Linked DNA regions of Drosophila melanogaster. The protein of the gene in region 1 interacts with the protein of each later gene in a pairwise test. Each region holds a gene or a part of one and is shown in the gene's direction. Other genes may lie near its edges. The genes, in order: ksh and CG9192.

The links.
Region 2: the proteins of ksh (region 1) and CG9192 interact in a two-hybrid assay, tested with the Drosophila melanogaster proteins (one large-scale study listed by BioGRID).

Annotation. Positions count from the first base shown.
Region 1 is NC_004354.4:19,493,654-19,496,617, reverse strand, and holds ksh (kish), read left to right. Parts: upstream 1-1,625; 5' UTR 1,626-1,715; coding exon 1,716-1,718; intron 1,719-1,781; coding exon 1,782-1,891; intron 1,892-1,966; coding exon 1,967-2,072; 3' UTR 2,073-2,198; downstream 2,199-2,964. Other genes in the region: CG12204 (uncharacterized protein), read left to right, coding at 2,239-2,964.
Region 2 is NT_037436.4:1,236,416-1,240,342, reverse strand, and holds CG9192 (uncharacterized protein), read left to right. Parts: upstream 1-2,023; 5' UTR 2,024-2,107; coding exon 2,108-3,043; 3' UTR 3,044-3,210; downstream 3,211-3,927. Other genes in the region: galene, read right to left, coding at 1-524, 589-715, 3,260-3,506, 3,566-3,772.

The DNA of each region.
Region 1 (2,964 bases):
TGTCGGTGGCCGCTCTGCGCATGTGCGTAGTGTTTTGGTGTTCGCGGGTGTAGGTCCATGGGTGAATGTGTCATGAAAGCACTGGAAGAGGATATAATAATGCAACTCACCTCCGGTTCGCAGCACTTTAAACCGTAGCACTTTAAAATTGGGGGTGGGGTTAAAAGAGCATATACTGTTTGTATTTTACACTTTTCACTCACGATTTACCGCCCCTCGAGTGGGGCACTCCGATAACTTTGGCGCGGATCTATGCGAGTGGCCGTCACTGTGCTGTTAGCAGCTAACAGTGCTGTAATCGCCGACGTCAACGATACACGCAAGTGCGTGTGTTTGGCGCGCGTGCGGGTGTGTGTGTGTACTTACATAAATACACATGCAAGGAACCGATTCGCGGATCATAGCTTAGCTTAATATTGCAGTCGGGAACTTACCGCTTTGCCAGTGCAGCGACTGGAAGTCATCGCTGCTGCTGCTGCCACAGAATGTTATTGTTTTTCTTGTTGCAGTTCCTGTTTGCCTCTCTGTTGCTCCGGCTGCTGTCTCGCTCGTGTTCCCTCTCTCTTACTCACTCGCACTTAACAACAAAACCCAGCGCGCTCGTCACACACACACTGTATTACTGATTTAAATACACACGCACACACACCGACAGGGGGGGCAATGAGAAAACGTATCCGATTATTATATATATGTACATGTATATCTAAATATACTTTTGATTTTTATGAGCGCGCTCAGTTACAATTGCATTGGCAGCACCATCGTATTCACAGACGTACACGCACACACATTGGGGATGCACTCGGTCGGGATTCTCCGCTCCTGCTCCCCTCCTTCATCCCCTCGCGATACCAAGTGGAAAACGAAAACGGGCCACAAAAATGAAGAAAAGAGCCAAGGAAAACGCAAAAGCACGGGCGGACTTAAAGCCAAATCGAACGATTTACTGACGCTCGCCGAGAATTGGCCAAAGCTCACCAATCGGAACAGCAAGACACTGATTTGCCAAGCGGGCGATCGAAATTGATCGGATTATATGTAACAACAAACACAAAAAAAATACCCGCAGCGAATTAGAAGTTGCAGACAAATTGCTAGAGGTGGCCCACTGCGTCGATGTTTATGCGATACTATGTGCGATAAGTGTGGACCCATCGATTGCTGTTCCGCGCCAGTCGATTGAATTCACTTGACCTAATAGCCCGATTCCATTGGCACATATTTCAATTGGGGGAAGCTCCACTGCCAACGTTAATTGAAACAAAGTCTTATCTTATTTCATTTACTTGACCCACGGTTGGATTGCAATACAAGTTCCGATACTATCGAAATTAAGCTTACGTTTTTTTGTATACGATGTCTTTTGTAAACTCTTGCACTTTTCAATACTTCCTATGGCGTTTTTATGCTCCCTGTGGGAACTTGGCTAAGAGCTTGTTACTTTCTATTGTAAAATATTTATCCAATGTCCATCCCAGATAATGGAAGTAGGTCGCCAAAATATGTATTTAATATAAATATATTCTTATATTAACTCCTAAACATTGTAACATTCCTTATCATTCTAACAGTTGATTAACCACCTATCGAATCAGTCGAAACGTGAGATTCCAGTTTTGGAACCAGTTCGCCTGCGCCGAGCGGCTGGCACGTCACTAGTTTACCGCTTGTTGTTATTCTATCGCCAAGCACGGATTTCGATTTGCTAAATCATGGTTTGAAACGCTCACCTAACCGATACTCCTCCGTCGTACACTTAGCACCGTTTCCCTCCACAGAGCGCCCTGTTCAACTTCCACAGCCTGCTGTCGGTCATCCTGCTGCTGATCTGCACCTGTGCCTACCTGCGCTCGCTCTTCCCCAGCTTGATAGACCGCAACAAGACCGGGTAGGTGCCCGTTCCCGCCCTGACCAGTCCACTGATTGTTACCACACTCAACACTCGTCTGCTGTCTGTTTGCAGATTCATGGGCACCTTCTGGAAGCTGGCAAGGATTGGGGAGCGCAAGTCGCCGTGGGTAGGAGCCGCCTGCCTGATCATGGCCTTCACCGTTCTCTTTTGGAGCTGAGCTCCTGCATCCCGCATCCCCTCCAGGAGCCGAATGGCACCATAGATTAGATATTCCAAACTTTCTAGGACTGTAAATACACGCTGCGTTCTGCAGCACTGGCCGCACATTTCGGGCTTTCCCAACACTTGCTGTTCTGTTCTGTTCTGTTTCGCGCTGGCTAAAAATGTCTGGCGAAGATGTGGACGAGAAGCGAGAACAGCTGCGTCTTTTTGTGACAGCCAGCAGGAGGCGTCTCCACGTCATCCTGCAGCGCTTCGGTTGGAGCGAGCGCGGGGTGATGGGGGCGGGTAGCCACAGACCACAGGACAAAAACGGCGCAACTAAATCGGAGGTGTTAGAGCCATTGCCATTGCCGGCGTCATGCAGCAACAATCCCGACTTTAGCATCCAGCTCGATGACTCGACTATTCAGGGCATTGTGGGCACCGAAAGAGCACGACGCCTCCTTCCTGCTGCCTCCTTTGATGATCTGCAGGCAGGACTCGACGCGAGTCAGCGGCTGCTCATCTACGAGCACGTTCTAAAGCACACCAAGAAGCACCCGCAGTTCCAGGACAACACCGCCTTCGCCGAGGTGGTGGGCGAAACCCGGCGTCAGCAAAAGAATCATCGGCGCCACCGCAAGAGCAAGCCCACGCTCAACGAGGAGCTGCACCAGCTAGTCAGCCTGCAGATGCAGGCGCTGGAGAAGCAGTGGGAACAGGAGCACGGCGGGCGGCATCATAAGCAAGTCGACCGACAGGAGCACCGCGGACGGTATGTTGAGCAATCCCAGCAAAGGACGCAAACGGAGCGGCAACAGGATCACAAGGGACGACGCGATAAGCCAGCGGAGCGGTTTCAGGAGCACCAATGGCGGCACAACGAGCAAACGCAGCACAGGCAGCGG
Region 2 (3,927 bases), on another chromosome or scaffold:
CACTGGCAGCTCTTTTCGCAGGAGGTTGCATGTCACCGAAGTCCTCAATGGATCCAGCATCCAAGTGGGATCGAGAGTAGCGCTCCCTTTCTACCGTGTGTCTGTCCCTCATCCGATCCCGTTGTCTTTGCCGGCTACTGTAGCGGTTGGATCTGTTCAGGGTCTGAGTTTCGTACCCATCTCCGTAAATGGTGTGACGCTGGCGAGGATCGTGATGCAAATGCTGCTGCTGCTGCTGACGACGATTGCGTCCGCCTCCACTGCTCCGATGTCCGAACTCGCGGTCATCGTAGCCCCGGCCCATGGTGCGCAGGTCGGGATCTGAATAGGCATGACCCATGGAAGGACCCAGACCCGAGTCATTCCCAGACCGTTGGGTCATCTTCATGGAGCGCCGGAACGAGGGCGGCGGCTGGGATCGGGCATGGCGCTGAGAGCGCATCGATCTCTGCCGGGATCGGGCATTCCTCGGACGTTTGGCCGTGCGGGTGCACACATAGCAGCATATTCTCCAGTACAGAAACCTATATTGGAATATATGTATGAAAACATACTCATTTAGTTCTCAGCTCATCGATGTCAACTCACCGAAATGATGTGGCCATGACATCGCCAATGTTGGACAAGCAGATGAGCATCAGCGGAATGCCCACAATGGCGTAGAAAATCGTTGTCACCTTGCCCCAATCCGTACGCGGCGATATGTGACCATAGCCTGTCCAGAGAATGACAAGGAACACATAATTACTCTTTCGCAGATAGGTAAGATTGATTTTGAGTCACCTTTCACCTTCAACCTCGTGACCGCAAAGTTCTTGAAATACTAATGAATCTAAGACCCGCTAAGGCCCAATCCCCAATCCATATGTACTTCTTTTTGTTCATGCCAAGCCCATTATCGCTTCGAAATAGCAAACATGGCATTTCAAGTCTGCCGCTTTTGGCCTTTACGGAAGTGTGCAAATTCGTAGATAGCATTCTGTGCCCCTCTTCGCGGGGTTCTATCTGATGGGCGTCGGTCACTAAACCCATTTGTGTGCTAGCCGTAAATCCATATCGGGGAAAAGTGCAGACGAAAAGCGTAAAACTAAGCTCCCATCATCAACAGCCAGAGCTAATAAACTGATTTATACCAAATACTTCCACTCGAAAGCCGAAAAGTTGAATGCTCTAAGTGGGTTAAAGTGAAAAAGGTTTCTGTATACTTTTAAAGTAGGAGAGTTTATAGAGTTCTTGGGGTTTGCTTAAGGCCTTCGATTGAAAACCTTCCATGCACCACTTCCCCTTTTATGAGTAATCACTAATCACCAACACCCCCTGTGTGTTAGGGTATACTAATAATGAGAAATTCCCATCGTTAAAATCTAAAAATCTGAAATGCCAGAAAAGATAATCACGATCGGTCAGTGGCGTTTGACCTTGCTGTTGTTTTGACCACAAACAATTGGATGGCAGCAATCCACTTTTGGTTTCATTTGACACGCTCCACACACCCTCGCTCCCTTTGAAAGCCATCACCACCCGAATGAACCCATTTTTAGAGGTCAACCACGTGCTGGCTGCTCACCTGACTGTGTCCGAGCTGAATCTTTGACTTGTGACTCCCGCCCTGCAAAGGAAGCAAGCATATGTTTTCCAACTCATGGAAATTCCCAGGAATAAGCTTTTAGGTCGATCGGTGGTGGTCAATTACCGTGATTTATGCGATTTCAACGTGATCGCTGTGTGGACAAAACCAATTGTCCGACTCATCCGCTTGCCTCATTGGTTCCTGGGCGGATTGCGGTCTGGTCGCGCTTCAGGTGAATCAACGTGGGCCAAGACTTGGGCCACAGATCTCTGAAGATTTCTGTCTGGCACGATCGTTGATTCATTGGTCGGGCAGCCGCCGAATGCGAATACCTGCGGCTGCCCTCGTCGCTTGACTGAGTTTGTGCGTCGTCATCGCCGCTGATGTCTCTGGCGGTTGTATTTGTTTTTTGGTTCTCGGGTGCGGTTATATAAGTAGTGTGTGCCGGTCGCATTTTCGAACTATTCTGTTGCGGGAGCTTGCCGCGATCAAGCGCAAAAATCGGGTCAGTGTGTAATCGAACAAAGCGTGCCAATCATGCCAAGCTATTGCCTCATCATCGTCCTATGCCTTCTTGGATCAGTGGCGGCTAAGTCTTCGGATGGAGATCGAGATCAGTGGGTCTGGAGGTCCTACAATCGCAGGGAGCGCTCTTTTCGGGACATCAATCGCAGTTCCCCCATAAGGAACTCGTACGACGAAAAGCTGAGGCGGGAGCCCACGACTCGAAGACCTTTTCCGGGCGAACCGGAGAATGATGAGATAGAGGACTATGCCGATGTGGAGCCCACCAGGTCATCGGACACTCCCAACGTAGGCACCCGTCAGTTTAATCCATACGGTGGTCAGACCAATGCCGGACAGTTCGGAGGACTTGGAGGCTATAACGGAAACCCCGGAGTGCTAGTCGGACCTGGCGGACCCACCGGAATCATAGGGAGACCGCAGCTATACCCCACTCCCTATCAGCCAGGCTATGGTGGATTCTCTGGAGCTCAAAATGGCATTAGTGGATATCCAGGCGGATACGGAGGAGTAGGACAGGGACTTCCCGGAGCTGGATTCCCCGGAGCCAGCGTGGGTGGTGGGTTTAACAACTTCCCCAGTAATGGACTTGGCCTCAACCAATTTCCTGGCAATGGGCAATACCCTTACGGCTCCTATCCAGGTGGCGACTTCGGTGGAAGCCAATTCGCGGGCGCAGGTGCCCAGTTCCCAGGATTGGGACAGTACCCAGCAAACCAACAGTTCGGTGGACCTCAGTACACCGAGGGCTATGGTCTGGCAGGAGGACTGGGCTTAGGTCAACTTGGAGTAGGCAACGGTGGACTCGGATACGGTGGAAGTTTTCCACCTCTAGGAGGAGGCTTCGGCTATGACGAGAAATCGCCAGCTGTGGCCGATGGTAAGAGTGCTAAGAGTGTGGCAGCGTCACCCAGAAAAGTGAATGATAAGCTCAGTAAGAAGGTCTAGAGCTTCGTGTTTTAGAAGTGGAAGGTGTTATGTTAAAGATATGGAACTGAAGCTATTACTTTCCCACTCAACCCTCCTTTTTCCCTTAGGCTGAGTTGGAAGTAGTCACCTTAGTGTAGGCATAGTTTACGTATAGACTAAGCAAATAAATTCCCATGTTTACTCACACATGACTTTGAAGAACTCAATCCATAAGCTTAAAAAAAACATACTCACCTATGGTCGTTATCACAATAATCGAGTAGAACAGGGATCCGGCAAAGGTCCACTGGGACTTGCGCAGATCCTCGTCGCCATCCCAGCCGTCGGCCTTGATGGCCGTAAGGATTTGCTTTTCAAAATTGGCCAGGTGCTTGCTGACATTGGCCATCCAATCGCTTTCCCTTAGGACCACTGCGTCGTCGGACAGTAGCCAGATATTCTCCGTGAGATTAACGCGAAGATTCTGTATGTCTCGCTTCACCTGCATGGGGATTTTGGATTTTTAGCATTTGAGACCTTCCAGCAAAATCACCCACTCACCTCTAGTTCGTGGGGTCGTTCGAGATGCTGGAAGAGGTAGGCACCGCCCACGCAATAGGAAACCACGAGAAGCACGAGCAGCACATGGGACACAATGCAGGTGAGCACCTTCCACGAGAAGCAGATGGCAGCTACACAGCGTCCGCGTTGCGGCTTCGCTGGCTCCAACATGTGCGCCGGCAGAGATTGGGCCCGCCTACCCGACATGGTCACCCTCCTCTGGCCTCCTCCTTCCTTTGGCTAATTTGCCGCTCGGTTGGCTGTGAATTATGAAAGGCAAAATAAACTAAATAAAGGATGGGACGAAAATGTTTGGAGGTCGGCCTGGCAAATACCCTTAGAAATTGTAAATTGTTGTTGAG